Arabidopsis thaliana: one gene and its partners. The protein of the gene in region 4 interacts with the protein of the main gene of each other region in a pairwise test. Each region holds a gene or a part of one and is shown on either strand. Other genes may lie near its edges.

Evidence for each region.
Region 1: the proteins of AT5G05820 (region 4) and FAO3 interact in a protein complementation assay, tested with the Arabidopsis thaliana proteins (one large-scale study listed by BioGRID).
Region 2: the proteins of AT5G05820 (region 4) and TH7 interact in a protein complementation assay, tested with the Arabidopsis thaliana proteins (one large-scale study listed by BioGRID).
Region 3: the proteins of AT5G05820 (region 4) and ARL interact in a protein complementation assay, tested with the Arabidopsis thaliana proteins (one large-scale study listed by BioGRID).

Annotation. Positions count from the first base shown.
Region 1 is NC_003074.8:8,380,364-8,387,183, reverse strand, and holds FAO3 (fatty alcohol oxidase 3), read right to left. Parts: upstream 4,513-6,820; 5' UTR 4,325-4,512; coding exon 4,115-4,324; intron 3,854-4,114; exon of another isoform or gene 3,774-3,853; coding exon of another isoform or gene 3,768-3,773; coding exon 3,495-3,767; intron 2,918-3,494; coding exon 1,160-2,917; 3' UTR 1,003-1,159; downstream 1-1,002. Other genes in the region: AT3G23420 (F-box and associated interaction domains-containing protein), read left to right, coding at 1-402, 554-838, 882-911. UniProt on the Arabidopsis thaliana protein: Long-chain fatty alcohol oxidase involved in the omega-oxidation pathway of lipid degradation.
Region 2 is NC_003070.9:21,951,784-21,956,020, forward strand, and holds TH7 (thioredoxin H-type 7), read right to left. Parts: upstream 1,698-4,237; 5' UTR 1,610-1,697; coding exon 1,475-1,609; intron 1,312-1,474; coding exon 1,189-1,311; intron 1,108-1,188; coding exon 976-1,107; 3' UTR 814-975; downstream 1-813. Other genes in the region: AT1G59725 (DNAJ heat shock family protein), read left to right, coding at 1-427. UniProt on the Arabidopsis thaliana protein: Probable thiol-disulfide oxidoreductase that may be involved in the redox regulation of a number of cytosolic enzymes.
Region 3 is NC_003071.7:18,234,659-18,239,346, reverse strand, and holds ARL (ARGOS-like protein), read right to left. Parts: upstream 2,559-4,688; 5' UTR 2,011-2,558; intron 1,913-2,010; 5' UTR 1,622-1,912; coding exon 1,214-1,621; 3' UTR 1,174-1,213; downstream 1-1,173. Other genes in the region: AT2G44090 (Ankyrin repeat family protein), read left to right, coding at 1-665. UniProt on the Arabidopsis thaliana protein: Promotes cell expansion-dependent organ growth, probably via a brassinosteroids signaling pathway. Acts downstream of BRI1.
Region 4 is NC_003076.8:1,750,811-1,756,984, forward strand, and holds AT5G05820 (Nucleotide-sugar transporter family protein), read right to left. Parts: upstream 3,552-6,174; 5' UTR 3,048-3,551; coding exon 2,601-3,047; intron 2,189-2,600; coding exon 2,085-2,188; intron 1,977-2,084; coding exon 1,748-1,976; intron 1,446-1,747; coding exon 1,296-1,445; 3' UTR 876-1,295; downstream 1-875. Other genes in the region: AT5G05830 (RING/FYVE/PHD zinc finger superfamily protein), read left to right, coding at 5,100-5,473, 5,775-6,015.

The DNA of each region.
Region 1 (6,820 bases), on a different chromosome or scaffold from region 4:
AAAAGAGAGTATAAGGTGGTCATGATGATGGATTTTAGGGTTTATTTGATGCGCATAAATCTTCAGAACAACGTTGAATTGTGTATAAAGCGTGAACGTGAACTTCTTTTCCCCGACGCTTCAGATCAAATTTACGTCCGTCACGTCTTTCACTGCGACGGTTTATTGTTATGCATCATGAAAGACAACCCTAGGCTTGTGGTTTGTAACCCGTATAGTGGACAAACCCGGTGGATCGAGACTACAAATAATCCTCAGAGATTAGATGCATATTCGTATGCTCTCGGATACAATAGCAGTACCAAATCCCACAAAATCTTGAGTTTTGGTATGATGTTTGATTATGTCTCCTCCACTTCTGCTGAGTTCAAAATCTACGACTTTAACTCTGACTCATGGAGGGTCAATCTCGAGACTGGAACATAGGTTACTATAACCGTTTTGTGTCTGGTGCCTCTCTCAAAGGAAATACATATTGGCTTGCTGAAGAGGCATATTCAGAAATCCCAAGACAAGGAGACCATAGTTTCTTACTCTGTTTTGATTTCACAAGGGAGACATTTGGGCCGCGGTTTGCCTTCGCCGCCCTTTGAGTGGTATCTTCAAGAGTTCTCTGTTATTATCTAATGTTAGAGATGAGCAGCTTGCGGTGTTATTTCAGCGTATGGATACATTACAGATGGAGATCTGGGTTACAACTAAGATTGAGCCCAACACGGTGTCATGGAGCAGCAAGTTCTTCTTATCAGTGGATATGAGAGAACTCACCGGCCGTTACTCTATGTTTTCGTTTAGTGATGCAAGTTTCTTCATTGATGAGGAGAAGAAAGTTGCAGTGGTTTTTGATAAAGGCAAAAAGAAGTAGTTGATGTGCAATGCAGCTTACATCGTTGGAGAGGATGGATCCTTGAAGAAGTGGATCTTGGAGAATCTCCAAACCAAAATCTCCGACCACTTGTGTGCTCTTATGTTCCAAGTTCACTGCAACTTGATTAGTCCAATATTTTATAACACTCTAATTAGATGAATAAATATAACGTTTCCAAAACATGGATTTTATTAGTAGACATGATCAATAGAAGAGTCTTTAACTATGAATTATCATGTTGGTTACACATAAATTTGATTAGGATGAATAGAAAGTATACGTTATTTTAGTTCAATGAGATAAACCAGTGGTCATGGACTTAGCGATTCTTGTGGAGATACAATAAGCCGTAGACATGACTGTGATCATAGGGTTAACACCAACAGCACTAGGCAACGCACTTGCATCGCACACAAACAACTTCTCTGCTTCCCAACTCTCTCCATTCAAATCTATTGCACCTTCTTTTTCATTTTCTCCAATTCTACAGCTTCCCATCTGATGAGCTGAGCTATAAACGTTCCATTTCTCAGTCATTCCCTTTGCTCCTTCCTCTGTACTCACCGAGTCTAAAAACTCTTGGATCGAATTCTCATTGACACCTTTGCATATTAGTCTCTGCCCGTCGCTTCTGTGAGTTCCCACTTCCTCTGCTCCAGCTGCTATTAGTATCCTTAGCGACTCTCTAAGCCCAGCTTTGAGATTATCTCTGTCGGTTTTGTCCACGGTGTAGTTTATTCTGCCTTCGGTTTTAACTTCTCCTGACCCGCGGTCTCTAACTATGGTTATGAGACTCGCGGTTCTTGAGTATCTAGCCATTCTTTTCTTCATGTCAAGCCCAGAGGTCCAAGGAGTTAAAACGGAGAACGAACCTGGTCCTAGTTGCGGTGTCTCTATGATTGCTCTGACTTCAGAATCTTCTGATAACACTTTGCTCACTGATGTTATGATCCCGCCTTCATATGAATTTCCCTTGAAACTGATGTTAGAAGATTCCTTGTCCGGGAAGTAACCCCACGCCATTAAAACAGGGTGTAAGTGAAGGTTTTTACCGATGTTTCGGTTTCTCAACCCGCTAGATATCATCAACGGAGGTGTTAAAAGAGCACCCCCTGCTGAAACCGTTACTTTAGCTTCAATCTTTAACATCTTTGCTATGTTTCCGTTTAAAGATTTAGCCATCACTCCCAAACATTTCATTTGCTTGCCTCCTTTGTTACTACCGTTCTTTTCGAGTATGAATCTCTCCGCTTTACATCCAGTAAGAATCACGGCACCGTGCCCCACCGCATCGACAAGCCAAGTCCGGTCACTTCCTTTCTTGTCTCCTTGTCTACATCCATACCCGCAAGATCCACAGTAATGACTCTCCGAGGAGTTTCTTGGCACGTTTTCAACATTGAACCCGAGATTTTCGCAACCTTTTCTCAGAATCTGATTCTGAAAACTCTCCAGTTCACATTTCTCCGTGACACCCATCCTCTTCCACACAACTTCCATAGCCGTTAGATATTCTTTAGTACCGAAAAGAGGTATATTTTGATCCTCTGACCATTCTTGAAGAACCGACTTCGGGGTTTTGATACACGCAGACCAGTTCACAGCAGATCCACCACCTACAGTTGCTCCAGCCAACACCATAAAACTCCCATCAACACTCGGGAGAATCCCTCCATTCTCGTAGAGTTTATCCAAGCCAGGACCTTCGAAAGGACGATGTTCAGAAGGCGTAAAGTAGCTTCCTTTTTCAAGAACAACCACTTTTAAACCAGATTTCGCTAGAACAGAAGCTGCTACGCCTCCTCCTGAACCAGACCCGACGACCACAACATCACATTTTATTCTGATCGCATCATGCTCCGTGTCAAGAACCGCTTCTAGGCCTTTATGAGCAAGTGATTCAAGAAGAGTCTGCTCTGTTTCTTCCATCGTCTCCACTATCCCTTTCTCAAGTGGTCTTTCGTTATGAGTTTCAGAAGGTTTGTTCTCATCGGGGTTAACACGATACCCTATGGCTTCCCATGCCGGGTTTTCGCCATTTGGATTCACCTACACAAAAGAAACGACATATCCATAAATTCTTGAACATTTTCTATAAGTAGCTCTGTTTTTACGACAGAGTTAACATATATAATATAGGCTCTGAATCCGGATTTTGGTTTAGTTCACGATTCTCAAAATTTTGGATCGGTTTATTGTAACCAAATCAGAAAATGATCTAGTTAAATCGCTTGGTACTCATTTAAGATCAAAGTTTTTAATAATGGGATCAAATTGTTTATGTATAGTAAAATAGTAAATTTTAGTTATAAACAAATCTCATATGAATACGTTACGTACGGTTTCAGGTTTAAGATTTTCTAATTTTAGTATATATGAATTTGGATGATTTTTTCCTTAGAGATCATCATTAATTTAGAAAACAATAAAACTGATACGTTTTCTAGTTTTTTTTGGCTCTATTTGTAATCAATTTTTGGATTATATAGAAAGTAAATGAATTTAAACCATGCGATTCTGTTTTCGATTATTTGGATTTGTACTAGACTGTTTTATCCGGACAGAACAACATAATCTATGTGGTTGAGATAAGGTTTGGAGAAAACAGAGAGAATTTGAGACATACCCGGGAGAAGAAACAGAAGAGGAATGCAACTTTGATGTAGACAAAAGCAGCTCTAATTGGAGTCAGAATCCAATTCTTGAATTGTTTCTGAAGTACTCTTTCTCTCTTCTCCAACGAGAGCTCACTAAATTTCTCGACAAAAGGCCATCTTGAGACCAAACACTCGGTTCCACAAATGAGAAGCGTCCCAAGCCGAGTAGCAAGCAAGAACAATATAAGCCTAGTAGCAATATAAGCTTCTATTGTCCCTCGTTTCGTGACCAGCTCAATGCTCTGCATCCATTAACAAATCTTTCACTTTTTACTCAAAACCTTAAGGTCTTTTTAATAACCGCAATTAATTTTAGACCGAAACCTAGACTAATAATATTCACGTTAAAAAAACAAAAAGAGCTAGATATTTTTGTCATTTAAAAGGTCTATAGAAGTCAAAAGAGAACCACAAGGATTTTATTGGAACTCGATCAATACGAATCCTTTTAACTAATCGAACAAATCAAAACAAATCTTCAAATATCACACGTTCTTGATTTGTGTTTTTTTGTTTGAAAGTGTCAAAACTTTAGCATTTTGTTAAAAAAACAGATCATTTGATGAATATAAAGAAAAAGTGTGTGAACCTGGCGAAGGACAGGAGTTTTAGACCCAGAAGTTGAGTAAAATGACCGGAGAGCCTCTTTGTTCCGATGGTTATCACCTTCACCGGAAAGCTCTTCCGGCGGTGGCTGCACTGAAGGCAAGACAGCTTCACAAAAGCTAGCTAAAGATTCCATCTCTGCCACCGTGATGTCCGGGAGACCAAATTTTCCGGCGACTTTGTACTTATCCATCACACAGTTTGCTTTGATATGATTAAAAAACAAAACTGGGAAAGTTCTTAAGATTTCGAAGCACAAACTCTGTTAGTATATATATAGACACAACGTTACAGCTGTCGCGTTACATAAAAATAGACATATAAAACAAAATTGCTAAGAGAACCCCAAAACTTGTTTTTAACTCTTTTTGATGATTACGTATTTTTATCTGTCGTTTTAGATAGTAGATGTATGTATTTTTCTAGTTTATACGACAGTTTGTCGTATTACTAATTATGATGATAATTGACAATTTAAATGTATATGAAAAAGTTGGACCAAAATTGATTTTTCTTTTTTGTTGTTGTAAATGGTGCATATCTACCCACGTTGTTGTTTCTTTCAAATTCTACTTATATGCCGAATTTTATTGGTATCATCTGATGTAGATTGAATATATTTCTTACGTACAATTTAAGATGATGGTTATTTTTTAGGGTCCTCATGTTTAGAGTCTCTAAGATAGTGGTTAAAAACACTTAAAATTGCAAAATATAGGGACTAGTATGTAGTTAGCAGAGACTATTATGGGGAAAGTCTTTTTCAGTTTTCTAGATTACAACATGTGAAAACTACAGGCAACGAAAATCGATTAGTAATTAATAATTAAGTAATGATTGAAGAAACATAACAAAGGCACAAAAGAAGAAAATAGTCAGAAAAGTTCTCATAGTTATGGAAAACAATCACGTGTGATACTCTTTCTTTTTTTTTTTTTTTTTTTGTTTGACAACTGCGATGCTCTAAACACCACAATTTGAAACTTGTGATAGCCAACTTGTGAGTTAATGCACAAGCCCCGTAACGTTTTACACAATCTAGCTTTTCTTATTCGATATACGTGTACTTGATATCTTCTCACAAAAATTTGTAAATATTATATGAAGAAATTAATACACATTAATATGTATATACAACATCTGATCGGTTATCACGTATATATCAAAACATATTATATCTTTGGAGAGGTCATGCTTGGACCATTAGACAAAGTCTTATTTGGTTTACGAGTTTTTTAGTTTGTTAATTATAATGTAAAGTATATGAAGTTGTAAAATTTACTCTAAAACAAATCTAGGGACTCGTCAATTAGGTGAAATTCATGGGATCGTCAATTAATATTTACTCAAATTAGTCATAAATGTTGCTTAGCTGCAACGAAATTGATTACAAACTTTTTTGCAGTGATTTTTTAGGTGCTTCACTGGTTAGCAACCATGTGCTAGTGATCATCCATAAAAATTATCTCATTTACTCATCCAGTATTTCATGAATTCTCAAAAATACTAATTATTGATTGTTGACCAAAAAAAACCCATATATTGATTACAAACCAAACGATCCCAGGCCGTTTTGAATTTGCTAGAAAAATAAATACATATATACACTATATGCTTAAAATTTCAATGGACAATGCGTTGCCTCATTTAAGATTCGAAGAAACTAGCATTATCAAGGAAAATGTTGAGTGACTTCCAGATAATTTGTTAAATTTAGTTGACATCGATTAGACAAAGAATCGATAAATTACGTATTGATTCAAATTTCATATTATAGACATCCACAAAAAAATAATATAATTAGTCTGGCCCTACTTTTGATTTTGCAACAAATTTGTGGGAATCAGTGGAGCCAATCAGTTGCCTCCACGTCATCGTTTGCACGCCATGTTAGCCAAAATGTGGTCATGCATCCCATCTAACAAGTCAGGTGTAATCGAAGCATCCGAGATCTCGTCAGACAAAAAAAACTCTAAAACGATAACTAGTTTTTAGTGTAATCTAAGTTAAAGTATGATTATTTACTAATATATATTCTGATCCCAAAGGTTTGGTTAGAAAATTTCCTCAGCATGGGTTATCGGTACATATATAATTGCTTGGTGATAATGATATGTTTCAGCTTAACCAAATAAAAAATGCAAAATAATAAATAAATTTTACCGTGGTGGATGAGCTAATTAGAGTGTACGAGGTACATATATAGTGCGTTGTTTTGCAAAAATAATAATATTAAAAAGTTCACAAAATATTTTTTAGTCATAAGTTACTTTTTCACACTTATTTATAACTTAGAAATAAAAAATCACTTCTCTGAACACTTATTTATAACTTCTCTGAACACATGTTATGTTCAAATGTTAAGACTATTTTCCGTTAGGTGATATCGTAATTTTATGACTACAATATTTCAAGTTATATGGACCATAGCATTCCATTTCTATGATTGAGGTACACTTTGTGATTATTATTTATCGACCAAATATTTTCAATGGCTCCAAAGCTTAATTATATATTAGTTGTAGACAAAAACAAATCTCTAAAACACTGTCAAAATGACGTGTTTGCGTAAAATCCATAAAACATTTTCAAGCTAGCCGAGGCATCAGCAACAAAATCTTCTTAAAACCTTCATGGCTTGTAAAATATTCAATCGGGTACAGTGGGTTGTTTAGTTGAATTATTATGT
Region 2 (4,237 bases), on a different chromosome or scaffold from region 4:
GGAAGAGATCTTGAAGATAGATATAACACCAGGATGGAAGAAAGGAACTAAGATAACTTTTCCAGAGAAAGGAAACCAAGAACCCGGTGTTACTCCCGCAGATCTCATCTTTGTTATAGATGAGAAACCGCATTCGGTTTACAAAAGAGACGGTAACGATCTTATTGTAGACAAGAAAGTTTCGCTTTTGGAGGCTTTAACAGGGATCACTCTTAGCTTAACAACACTAGACGGGAGGAATCTGACTATCCCGGTTTTGGATATCGTTAAACCGGGTCAGGAGATAGTGATTCCTAGTGAAGGAATGCCCATCTCTAAAGAAGGTTCAAAGAGAGGAGATCTAAGAATCAACTTTGAGATATGTTTCCCCTCGAGGCTAACATCGGAACAGAAGACAGATCTCAAGAGAGTTCTTGGTGGTAGCTGAATTGGCAACTAGTTTCAAGAAAGCTCTTGAATTCAAAAGGTCAATTCAGTGTACATACATATACAGAATTGATCGGTTTTCGTTTTTGATCTCATATCTTGATCACGAAATAGTAAGCAGAATTGATTGTTTTTTGTTGTAAAAGCTATCTTTGTTGTTATCTAATTTATTCTGCTTTCATAAGTTATATATGTAACTCTCAACTTCATACAAGCTCTTCGAAAATGTTATGTAACGTTTGTTTTTTTCCATTTAGTATTTTAACATATACTTGGAATGGGACTCTTTTTTTTTTTTTTTTATGGTATAGTTCTTTTAGTCGCCATACTCACATTACCATTGTTATGTTGTTTTGCTTACGTTGGGGTGATTAGATTTCATACAAATATAACTACAACATTTTTGTTAATTGTTTTCATTTTTGACATTATTATTTATATTGTTTTGAGAAATTAAACAACAAACCAGAAACCCAACTTCAAACAATCAATTCAGAACAGACATTCAAAAGTATAATAATCATTTTTTTGTAAGGGAAAAGAAAAAACTTAAACCCTATGTTGTTCAATCTTCTTCACGAGCTCATCAGGTTTGGCTCCAACAACCCTATCAATCTCTTCTCCTCTCTTCACAAAAACAAAAGCTGGAAGTGTAATAGCTCTATATGTCCCAGCCACATCCTGGAATACATACCAATTATAGCTTAGTCTTGAAACCATAAGATGATTCTTCTTCAAGTAATAAAAAAAAAGAGTAATTACCATTAGCCTATCCACATCAACCCTAGCAAACACAGCTTCTGAGTACTTTGAAGCAATCTCCCTAACTCTAGGTTCCATTGCTTTACAAGGTCCACACCATACAGCTGTGAAATCAATTACTAGCTTCAAAACCACAATAATTTTTTCAGTTAGTTTAAGAGAAAAAACATGTCATTTACTTGTAAACAAAATTAGAAAACACAAATAGTATAAGATTTAAAACAAACATTATAAGTTTGGTTAAAAAAATTTAATACGTTTTAGGTAGTTTTCGAGTAATGTATACCAATTTGTTTGAGCCTTTCATGGAATCAAAGAGAGATTTCCATTGTCTTCTTGATTCGATTTCCACAACAAATCCATTACTGGTAATTTCCATTGATGAATGAACATCATGCACAGATGAAACATTGGAACCCATTATCTTCGGAATGTGTATGTATGAAGAAATGGTGTTCACTTATTTGCTAGTGATATACTGATATGCAAAGAAGAGAGACAAGGAGGAGCATTATATAGCTTTTAATCGGAGAACTTAATTTGTTGGTTATAAATAAATAAGTAAATGCAAAGGAATATGATTCAATTTGCTATCCTTCTTTAGTTCTAGCCGTTGATTTTTTTATTTTTTCAAGAATATATAGCTTATACCAATTTAGTTTCGCTTTGTGTTTTTAAAATTCCAGTTAGTTGTTAAATATTCTCCACTACATAAAAATATAGCTGGTTGCAAGGAACTAGCTTGCCTATCACATTTGCAAACGAATTTTTTATTTTTGTGGGTGGATAACAATCCGCGGCGGATCGATTTTCTAATTAAAAAATGGTAGCCTAGGTACTTGATTTATTAGTTTAGATTAATTAGTTATTGTCAACGCTATAAATTAAAAGTAGTTAAAATTTGTTTTGTTTAAATAATATATGCACCATCCACTTCAAGGATCTAATACCTATATAATATTAATGCTATTAATTACTATAAAAATAAAAATGTCACATGGCAGGAGAGTTTCTAATGAGAACTCATTTTTATTTTTTTCCTAATTGATGGTGATACTCTTATGTCTTTACTGAAATCTTTAATTTACATTTACATAAAACTTTACAGAACGAAATTAGATTAGAATAAAACGAGAAAAAAATTTGCAAAATGACCATGCATGTCATTGTAAATTTGTAATGTTGTTTGGTGTGTCCGTGTGTAAGAATATTGATTTGTGTTAAAAAGAAGCTGTCATCAAATTCTTCCTCAAGGTCCTTCTTATTCCATTTCAGTACTTATAGGAATCATTGTCGAAAATGAGTTTGAAATTAACAATTTATTCGATACTGGGGGACAAGAAATGCACGTCGTAGCCACGAACATCATCTTTAACTTTTTGCCCATAAACTTTCACATCATCCTCTTATAATTCTCATTCTCAAGGAACTAGGAATGCTGATTCAAAAATACAGTTCGGTGATGCTCGAATATCTTAAATTTTAGAACATATTGTTGGGGTTTAAGATCTCGATTTGCAAATATTAATTTGAAACCATTTTTTGGTCTGATTTCTAATAAAATTGAAACACCACTGTTTTATAAGAACTAAAAAAAACTTGTAGAAATGTTGCATCAAAGTATGCTTTATAAAACATTAAATATATATATGTTGGGATCAAAATATGCATATATATATATTATATATATATATATATGAAGGCGTTATCAAAGAAATACAACAAGTTTTTTAGAAAACTGAAAACATTAAGGAATACTTCTTAAATTTGTAAGTACCCTTCCTAAGACTTTCTTTCCCTTACTTTTACTGTATTTGGAATTTTGGAATTGTGTAGTTTAAGACTTAAAAGAATTCTCAAATATTTATTGTACTGGTAATTCATAAAGTAAACTAATCACGTTTAGATATTTAAACATGTGTAGAAAATCGTTTTTAATTTAGATTTTGCCTTTGAATTTATTCATTTTTTAATCATAATTTATCGATAATATTACACATGACTTTCTTAAAGGTTGCATGAGTTCTGCTACCCACATATTTCTTTATTCCTAGCTCGATCTATAAAGATTCTAATATAAGTTTTTCCACAATCTAAAGAATTTTATTCCATGAAATCGTATCCATACAATTTTATATTGTTGATTTTCTCTCTTTTTAATTTATGTAGGAAGAGTAACACAATTAGTTCAATACCTCTGTATTTACTTTTCTGCTACTAAGCAATATATTACAGTTACTTATAAAATAGTTCTGTATAATAGTTCAATAAAGTTAGTTATATTTTTGCAAACAGAAAGTGTGAAAAAGATACAAGAGCAGAAGAAACGATTCTTAAATACAAGTGCAAGTGCTTTTTCCTTGAAATATACGGTGATTTGAATCACAAACCTTCTTAGCTAAATGACCATCTTATGATAAAAACAAGATGTGGCCGCCACGAGAAGTCTAAGCAAGGAAGTAGGTGCATATGATGAACTAGGTACGCCGACGAACATAGAAAAAAATGAGGTACAGATTAAAATCCATTTGTGGAGTATACACAAAATGTTTGTTTGAAAAACAAATTATGAAGAGTTTCAAGATTGTTTTCAAGGAACTATCAATAATTTATGTTTGACTCTATATGTAGACTGATATGCAAAAGATCAAGTGTGGATGAATGAAATTGGATTGGATGACATTATTTTGAGGCCAGGGGATAAAGATTATAGAAGTAGCAATATTAAATGTGGTAGATTTAAAACAACGACAATAGCATGAACTAAGTTTTGCTGCTGGTCACTGTCATTTATCGCTGGCCAAAATTAGACGCATCCTAATAATTAGCCCACCTTATGTTGAAAACCTAATTAGGCTAAATACACTAGAGCATACTTCGCTAACACATCGAAAAACACTGAAAACAAACAGGACGTAGGATCAAGTTGCTAACTCACGTATCTCATCATAGTAACAAAAGAATTAATAACTGCACAGCGAGAGATAAATTTAACCCTAATCTAAAATAATGAAGAAGAACATTGTGGATTTTAAGGTACAACATATTT
Region 3 (4,688 bases), on a different chromosome or scaffold from region 4:
GTTGCATGCAAGTTGTTCAATGGTTTGTGAAACGAGGCTGTCGTGAAATGGAGCTATGCTTAGCTCTCACAGCCGCCACTTCAAGCAGCCAGGTTGAGGTTGCTGCTTATCTCCTTCCTCATGTTCCAAGACCCGTCCTTACTGCTCTCAGCATTGAAATCCTCAAAGCAGCCGGTGAAAGAAGTGGTGGTTCCCTCCACGGAGTAGAGTTTCTCCTTAAATCAGATTTCCTCGGGGATCCAGCAGCCACATATTCAGTTGCAGACACCATTGCAAAGTCAGAAGACGAGTCTGTTCCTTCCGACCTCAAATCGTTTCTCCAAGAACAGTGGTCAGAAGCTGCATTCAACCAAGGATTGAAGGAAAGCCGGGAAAATTACATGAATTTCATGAGAGTTTTGAAACTCGGAGAGTCTGCAATAAGTCTAAAGGATCTCCCAGCACCATTGAGAGTGGCAATCGCCTACATGCCACTGTACAGAGAGTGTGTGGATGCGGGTGGCCGGCTGCTCTCACAAAAGCTAAGAGGACAGCTCGTGGAAGCTGCAACACAGCTTGAAGGCTTCGATGTAGACACAGAAGAAGTAAAGAAAGGTCATCATCAGCTCATGACCATCTTGGAGCATCACCTTCCTCTTTTTTTGGTCAAAGCTTCTTTACACTGAGCAACAATGGATTCAGCATCTGAGTTAACACAACTCGTTTTAAATAGTTGATAAAATAAGAACTGAAAAACAACCATTCCACTATAGTTATGGATTCTGATCCAGGTTGTGAGATGATGAAAAAGGGTTCTTGTAGACTTGTACAAACTTGCTATGAGAATGTCTTTGTCAAAAGTCTCTCTATCTGTCTTTTATGCATCCTAAACCATGGGAGAGATAATCAAAGCCTTTTATATTATTTCATCTACATATTATTTCACTTCTTCTGTCTCAGACTCTTATTGGTCTCCTCTCCTGTAATGAAAGCCTTTCAATTTCTTACATTTTGTACCAATCTCTCATCCTGGTTTTGCTTCAGACCATGAGAAAAATGAAATCATGAAACTATTAATCATTCTTTATTTATATAAATAGTTGTATAATTCTGCATCAAGAAAACAAGTTTTACAAATGAAATATTAATCTCTTACCCTGAAACCTTATGTAATGACAATAGACAAAACCTCCCTTTGTTTAAGGATTTCTTTCTTCAATTAAAGAAACGTTTATTACATAAAAGTGGAAGAAGAAGAAACATGTTTGGAATTAGAAGAAGGCATGAAAGCAAGAACCATAAGCAAAACCATAATCCCAATAGGAATCAAAAGCAGCATAAAAGGAGGAGGAGGCAATGGTGGAAGAATCAACGGTAAGATCAAGAGAGATGCTGTGAGACCAACAAGCACAACCATTGATTCTAAACTGAAGTAACTCGCTGATATTAGCCTCCTTGGACTGTTCTGCGACGACAATGTCCGAAACAATTCTTGCTTCCCCATAATCGGAGCTGGAGCTGAACCACGAAAACTCGTGTTTTTCCGGTTATGATCTCCTCTCACGTCCATGTTGTTGTTGAGAGAATAATGTTCTTGAATGTTTATGATGTCGTTTTGTAGACTGGAGAACTCACGAATCATTTAAAGAAGGCTTTTTCTCTTTTCGAAGTTTGATCTGGAAAATCAGATCGATGTATGAAGAAGAAACTTGAGTTTGTTTATCCAAACGCATAAAAAGTAACGAACTTTTCTTCTTCTTCTTCTTCTGTAAATGTAGTTTGGTTGAAGAACCCTGACGATGAAATGATTATCCCGAAATGCAGACAAAATCTAAGGTTTAGAACGAGTGATCTTGGCGTTTCCAGACCTAAAAGGACTAATCTTTTTTTTTTGCCGGTAGAGAGAAAAGATTCAATTGGTGTTTCAAGAAAGCTGCAAGAGAAAATTTGTCCAAGTTTTGATCAGTAAATCGTTGTGATTCAATCAAAAACATGAGCAGAGAATGAATCAAAAGAATCGAAAGTAAGTACCTTTAAACCGTTAGAGCCAAACACACCTTCAGCGAGAAGAAGATGAAGATTGAACGTTGGAAACCAAAAACAGGGTGTTAAAGCTTAAATACAGAGGAAGACGAAGAAAGTTTCTTTTGGTAAGAAAACCAGAGAAGAAGAAATAAAGTGGGAGTGGTTTTGATAAAAGGAATTGGTATAAAAATAGATGGTAAAAGATAATGAGAGAAATAAATATAATGTTTTTGGGGTTAAGACTGTGGAATCAGAGAAGAAACAGGAAACAGAGGAAGGTTCACTGAATTTACAGATTTTTCTAAAATGATAAGATTTTAATTTTAATGTTTTTTTTCTCTTTTGGGGGTGACAAGTGTGAGAGGCAAGTTGCTGCTTATTCTGGAAGGTCTGAACAAAATTGAAATCTCTCTATTTGATTACTTTACACTTCTCTCTCTCTTTCCACAATCACAGTGGTTCTTCTCCCCTAGACACTTTCTCTGATGATGACGTGGGATGGAATTTATTTGGGGTAAGCCTCTGTTTGAGATGGAGGTTTCAGTTTCTTTTGGAATATTCAATGGTGGTTTTTAATTAAAACGAATCCAAACTTTTATAACGTTGATCGTGTATTATTGTAGACTATAGTCAAAGTTGTTTGGTTGAAATAAATAAAGCAGTATCAGTCATTAATAATACTAGAAACAAATAATTAAAGATAAGATAAATATTTTAGGTTATCACAAATAATCTTTGTTCTATATGATAATGTTTTGTTTGTTTTATATAATCATTTAGAGTTGTAATCTATTGAAACTATGGACGGGGAAACGTACTAATTAAAGATTCGAATTCCTCGCGCACAAAAAATTGAATATGAGAAGTGATAGCAATAATCAATAGATTGAATTCGGTGAATTACCAAATTAGTTTGACAAATATATTCAACATTTATCACTTTTTTTTTGTCATAGAACTGTATAATATGTATATGTATATGTGTGTGAATTAATTAAATTTTCCAACCTAATAATAATGTTGTCTATGTGTTATCGACCGATGATGACCCATATTGTTATTCCTCTCGGCATTTCATGTGGTGGCTATATCATATTATCGTTTTTAGTGGGACAGTTGGTCCAATATTTATTTCTCTTTCGTTTTATGCTTTTAATAGTCAGAAGAAATGCCAACTTAAATTTATATAATTAGGGAATTTTGTATTTTACATGATACATAAAGGATACATAAGTGGTCTTATTATTATTATTATTATTTATTTTAAAAAGGGCTAGGTGTTGTTTAGTATGATTTAAACAAAAAAGTGATATAGTATTAAATATCGTACTATATTAAAAATGCTATTTGTTAAAAATACAAGACAGCTTATTATTTTTAAAAACACATAAAATAATATATTAAGATTTTTTTTTTTTCATTCATTATCTTTCAGGTAAACCGATATAATTTATTTGTTTAACAGCCTAAAAATGTAATAATTAAAATATCTAATGGATATATTCATAAGTACTTTTCGTTGGGTGTTTAATTAAGAGGGACATGATAATTTTCGCAAGCAGTTTAGTTTCAGCCGTTCTGGTATTAACCAATTGACAGCTTACCAAAATCCACTACTCATTTTTTATTTTTTTTTCAATCCAAAATACTTATTTATCCAAATTCAATGAATCGCATGTATAACATCTATTGATTACGTCTTTTCTACTTTTTTTTACAAAGGAGAAATGGTTTTATTCGTCAACTACTAGCTAAACTCCCAATGGAAATGACATTACTATTCTACAATTATAATGGCTCAAGTAGACATAATTACAACAAAACTTCACCTCCCGCTTTAAACAAAAACAAAACTTAATTAACGTCAATAAAAAGATGATGCAGACTTTTAAATTGTTAGAACAAAGTTTAACAACTATATATAACTGATCAGTTATATAAATAGCATATACACCATAGTGATATCTTCCCGATCTTAAAAGATATTCAAATTATCTTGTGGATATGTACTTGATTCGATATCTTTGATTTTTTGTATTCATGATCTTATGGTTAGGATCGATGCCACCAGTTCCTATGTAAACAAATAGATAATATGTAGGTAAATAACATTGCTTATACCAATCTAAATGTCAGTTAAGAATATATTGATACATATGTTTATAATGCCTTACAGATTTATAGAAAACCCATATTTGATTATAGTGATATATATAAGAACGTATACAGAGAGCGCAATCTCTTATCCAAATCAGAAAAAGATTTCAATTCGTAGCCAAAACCAAGAAAGATATAAGATATAGGTGAACTATAGGAGGGTGTTTTTTTTACTCGTAATTCCTTGGATTCTATTGGTTAATCCATCATCCATAGTGTGTGTATATTTAATTTTTAGAAAATTAGAAAGAAAAAAATTGTAGAAAGGGAAAGCTATATAGAAATGGCAACCCATGCATGATTGCCTTGAACATCGCAAACCCTCCCTTAGATTGCATGTCTAGTGGAACATAGTGGACCTGCAACAATATTCAACAAAAAATTCATATTATATACATTGCATAATGCATAGTAGGACATAATAAGATGAATTATTATGCTCAATAACAAGTTTATATGATATGCCCACAGTTTCATCACATATACTTGAGTTTATTAAAACGAATGATTCTATTTCTCTATTAAGA
Region 4 (6,174 bases):
AGTTGATACGTGTGTGTACATGGTCCTCATCATTATCGTCCTCCCTTTTTCAATCTCTATTACTTTTCGCAATTCTTGTTCCTTAGCTTCTTCATGAAAAGCCCACTCGAGTACTTGAAAGAGTTTCTAGACACTCAAAAACTCAACTGTCACAGTCTCCAAGCTTAATCAAGCCTTTTTTGGTTTCTTTTCAGCTTTTTTGTCTGACTTGTAAGTCTATTATATTAACCAATTTACTCCTATATCTCTCTCCGACCCCATTTTGGCTTTTTCCTCTCTCTATCTCCTGAAAATTTTACTCTTGCTTTTTTTTTCTTTTCCCTGTCGAGAGAGTTAATATTATTGTCACATTACAAGTTTTGGTACCATGACTACGTGGAGTCTTTCTCCATCACACTCATGCTTCGAAGAAACCATGTTTTAGCAAGGAGGTTTAAAAACACTACATAGAGTGTGTTCTTTACACATTTTGGGTCAAACAATCCTGAAAATTTACGACATATATTTGGAATGGCCTACTTGGTAATGTGTGGATTAGATTCATGAAAGTGAGATATGCTGCAGTGAATCCGGATCTACGGCTTGATATGATAATGGCTGCCGTTACCAGATAAAGAAAATGAAGCGAGTGATTTGACAAGACAAAGACTATAGACAAAGACAAGACTATGTCTTCTTCATAAGTAAAAATAACTCTCTTGTCTCCTTTCTCTCTTTTAGATATTTCTTCTGCAAACTGTTATCACTTCCTATTCTGATTCTCTGCTCTGCCACTACACAGCTATTTGATCTGAACAACTCAGGAACCTTGAGATAGCTTAATATTGAATTGAATTCTCAGATAAACATTGAGAAAATGGATTTTAAGAAGAAGATAGAAGGAACTTTCTCTCTTTCGATTAAATGAATCAATCCGTGTTGTTGTAAAATGTTGACATCACAAAACTAAAATGTAAAGAATCGAAGAAACAAACCTAATTCAACAAACAACCTACAGAGGAAAGGCAAGAGAATCCGAGAAGAAAGAACAAAAATGAAAAACAAAAAGGTTACTTATTCATAGGAGGAAGTTCTCTAAATTCTTGCCTTTGGTAATCAATCTTTGTGTGGCTTTGCTTCTCTGTTTCTGCCAAAAAAAAGAGATGTTTTTGGCCCAGCTTTTCATTAAGACAAGAGTCAGTTTGGCCCAGCAAAAGAGACTACTTGCCTGTATATCCATAGGGGAGAAAATATAAAACATATATATAGGGGGGAATGATGAAGAAGAAGTAAAAGCTTTGTGTGTGTTTAGTGTTCTAATTTTTGTTTCGTTTCTTGGCTTCGCTGTACAGGATAACTCCACAGACGGTGAGGGAGTAACCCAGCATTCCGGTCACTGACACCGGATTCTTGAAGATTAGAATAGAGACCACCACTGCTACTGCTCCTTTGGCGTTTCCTAGCACCTATCACAGAGCGATCCAAAACGACGTTTTATGAGTTTATGTGAATCATATCTCAAAAGTTCGTTTTGAAACGCAGGGAACATCAAGCATTATCATACACATAAAAAAAGCAAACCCAACTCAACATCCAATACAAATGACAGGATCTCACTAACAGGAGGACCAAGCAGATAATCGTTTCTCACTAGTTCTACACTTCCTTGGACTAACTTTCTTTCAACTCCAACCAAAACCCGTATCATTTTTTCTACCATAAACAATGATGCCACTAAGAATGTAAAAGGAATGTGAACTGTAATCACCTGTAAAGTCAGGGCGCTAGTGTGGTTTGTGACTAAGAAATTTGTCAAGTTGACTAAATAGGCGAGCGCTGAATTGAATAGAAGATACCAAACGATTCTGAAATCATCTCTTGCAAGTGCAATTGTAATGCCGACAACATTTTTCTCCATGATAAGAGTAGCAGGCAGAAGGAGCACGACAGCTATTGGAGCCATGTAAAGGAGGAGATTCATGGAGTTCAGCTTTTCCCTTCAATACAATATTTAGAATCTTTTAAGCAACACTCATATAAATACTTGAACTATTGATATATAGACCTCTAACAAGGCGACTACAACAATACCAGCCATTTCTTACCCTTCAGAAGAAAGCAAAATTCCTTGAAGCACTGATTTAAGTGCTCTCGCAGCTGTTGCTGCAATGCACATAAGGAATCCAAACAGGTGAAAGCTTGGCTCACCCTGACAACACCCATAAATTAAAGAATATCAAGCATAGAATCAAACACATCACACACACAAACAGAACAAAATCTCCATTACTCGAACTTTTTTAGCATAAAGTTCACATGGTTAAGAGAAGATGAGAGAAACACAAAATCTAGCGAATACAAGCACAAAACAATACCAAATTTTCTCATGTGAAGCATAATTCAACAATGTCTGAGCTTGTCACAAAGATAAAAGCTAGCATCATTGGCCAAACATGAAACTGAATCAACGATATCACGTTCATTGCTCCAGAACCATACCTATGTTCCCAACATATCTAGTTCATTGCTCCTACATCACATCTACATCAACCTCTCTAACAACTCATCCAAAAGCATACATAAGGGATTCAAATTTAAGAGGTCAAAAGAAGTGAAAATACCCCACTAGCAATAACAACTCCGGTGACGACAGGGACGAGAGTGAAGTAAGTCAACCAAGCCTCTTTCTTACGCGTCATCAGGTAAGCAAACACGGCGGTGAAAAACGGCGTCGTAGCACCAATGGCTTGGTTAAACGAAACAGGAAGAAAGCGGAGAGAGATGTTACCAAAGACCACCGACACACAAAAAACGAGACTTAGAGCTGCGATCTTAAAGAACTGAACTCTGGATCGAATCGTCTGCATCGGAACCATCTTCAACCAAGCAATGGCGACGTAGCTGAGTAACGAACAAGCCGTCATGTGACACATGGTGAGAAAGATCGGGTACTTGAATCCGTAATTGCTAAGCAAGTACTTGTTCAGCAACAATACACCAATGTTCGATGAGTACCAAGACGCGACTAGCCCGATTGTGAAAAACCGGCCATTCGTCGCCATCTTCATCGCTTTTCTTCTTCCTAATCCTGGGTCGACTCGATCTGATGAGATGAGATTCAAACTAAAACCCTAACGAATTTCACGAAATTGGGATTGGTGGGAATCGAATCTGGACAGGAGATGGAGATCTCTCGGTCCTCCGATACAGAATTTTGACGCGTCGTGATGATGTTATTCCATCAATGGGTAAGATTTGGATTAGGTTACAACACGCGAAAATGCTGGAGACGAAGAAACCGGGAAAGAGAAGAAAGTTGGGATTTTTGGAGAAGAAGAAGAAGAAGCTCTGCAAAAAGGAGAGATCTTTGGGCTAAAGCTGCAACAACACTTCTCTTTCCTTTTTTAACTAATTTATTTTTTCTTTCAGTTTCATGATATTATAATTGGTGCGTTATGTAATGTTTCTTTGGGCTAAAGTTTTTTTTGTTTGGTTACTTGAAAAATCAAAGTGTGAAGATGTGTAACAATGAAGGAAAGGAGCCATTGACTTTGTTATTGGTTATTACCGAATCTGAGTTCTAAATTTAATGATTTACGTTCATATACTAATCCTTGAAAATTCCTAGCTAACGAAACATTTCAGTTCTGAGCATATTTAATTGACTAAGTAAATCGACCACGAATCTAATTGTAATTAACAAAGCGTTTGGTTAGTTAGGCAATCGATTTTACATTAATTTTTCTAAAAATACGAACTATTCAGAGAAAAGCTTATCTAAGTAGCAGAAGTTTGGCAGAATTATGATGAAGTTGAATAAATTTAGCAAACGTTTTTGACAAAGTGGGTGTTAAGTCTAGTGGTAGAAGACCAATAAAAGCTTTATTAGTGGTGTAGCAAAGGGAAATTATGTAATATACAATAGTTTAGAATCGATGCTCGATTCTTAAGTCAAAACAATGGTAGGATCATCTGCATTTGGGCTTGATGTTATTAGCCGTTACAACTTGTGAAGATGAATTACAACTCGTATAAATAACAATGAAATTTGCATATGAATCATTTAGATTCAAATTTGATTTTATAACCACTCAATTTCACATTACATTAGCCACTTATAAAACAAAGGATTTTTCTTAGGAATCTCGCCATATCCATAAATACCATCTTCCTTTGCTTCCCAAGTACAATTTCTACATCTAGAAGAATCTCTAACCGCTTTATAAATATCGAACACACCTTTTTTTACTTGTTCTTGGCTAAATCCACAGAAGTAGAGTGTCGAATTCATAAAATTCACGTAAAACATCCAACCATATAATCCACCTTTTTGTAGAATATGGAAGCCATGATCATCATCTCTTGATTTACAATGAACTCCTAAAAGATAATCATTGTCATTATAAATCACAACCCTAGTAAGAGGACCTTTCATTGGAAATACTTTTCCATCATGTTGTAGAGTTTCACAGCCTATCAAAGATATTAATACTATAAAGATGATTATAAACATTGAGTAGAAAATTGTTAGGAAATTTATGTTAGACGAATTCATCATGAAGATTTTCTTAATCATGATATTGCATTTTCTAGAACTTATAATTTATTTATATATAATGAGCTAACTTTACAAAAAAAATTATAATTTACATTAATTTATGTTGAATAACCTAAAATAGTCATGAAATCACTAGAAGTTTTTGTGAAGTAAATAAGAAAGTAAAAGTTGCTTTTTGTTCCCAAAAAAAAAAAAGACTAAAAGTTGCTTAAATAACCCAAAATATAATAGAAATACATCAATTAGGTTAGGTATTCATATCCAAAAAATTAAATTGACAGTAATGATCCAAAAAATAGTAGATTTATTAGAGGTGGGTCTGTCTAGGTGTCCAGGTGAACAAGTGAGAGGAGAGAGTTAATAGTTTTGTCTGAGAATCTGACGATCACTTAACTCCAAAACCCAGTGGCAATCATGTAATTTTACTGTAAAGTTTCAACCAGAAATCTCTTTTTTTCTCTCTCTCTCTGCGCTGCAAAGCATTGATCATCATCATTCATCATCTTCACAAGTCTCGTTTTCATAATTTATATGAGGATTCGTCATCCGGGTCTATACGAATATGGAATCCGTACAGCCACATCTCGAGACCTTTGTCTCTGTTAAAGTAATCAATAGCTCAAGTGGCTGTGATGGCGATGGAGAGCCTCGTCGGAGCTCCGGTGCGGTGGAGAAGGAGGAAGAAATAGTGAAAGATGAGGAGAGGAGATCCAATGCGTCGGTGTGTTCGGTGGAAATAGATCTGGAGCTTGGATTGCCTGAGAAAGTTGTACATTTGTCGCAATCTGAGAGAGATTGCAGGATTTGTCACATGAGCTTAGATGCAGCGAATCTTGAATCTGGTGTTCCCATTGAGCTTGGCTGTTCTTGTAAAGCTGATCTCGCTGCTGCTCATAAACACTGTGCTGAGACTTGGTTCAAGATCAAAGGAAACAAGTAAGTTCAAAATCTCCATATTTCTTGAGAATGGTTGTTTGGTGGTTACTTCCATTAGGAGTACGTAAAAATCTAAGCTTTAAGATAGTTTAGGAAAGGCTAAATGACTAACATTTCCATTGATGTAGGAAAGTTTTTTACTTTCTTTAGGTTATTGTCACTTTTGGTTATTGAACAGCTTTCTTTTGACTGTCTTTTTGAGAAGTTTCAGTTTTGAGGCCATTTGTTGTCAGATGAGAGACGCAAAGCTTAGCTTTTTCTTTCTTTGTGATGAGATTCATGGTTTGGTTTTGCTTTGCAGAATCTGTGAAGTTTGTGGGTCGATTGCGGGTAATGTTGTTGGAAGTGTTGAGGTGGAGTCTGAGGAAAGCCGGAATGAAGCAAATGGTGTAGAGAATCTAACTCTGAGAACATCTGGTCCACGATTGGTGGAAGGTAGAAGCTTCTGGCAAGGTCACCGGTTCTTGAATTTCCTTTTAGCTTGTATGGTCTTTGCATTTGTTATCTCATGGCTCTTCCACTTCAATGTTCCTTCTACATAGCAACACAAGTAATGTTCAACTCTCCATAAGAAGAAGAGATTCATTAGAGATCTCTCGGAAAGGTACTTCACTCTTGTACCAATGCCTTTTTTCACTATTAAGTTTGATGTAAGTTTAGAGAGGAAGAACAAGACCTAGAAGAGCTCATTATGCTATTTG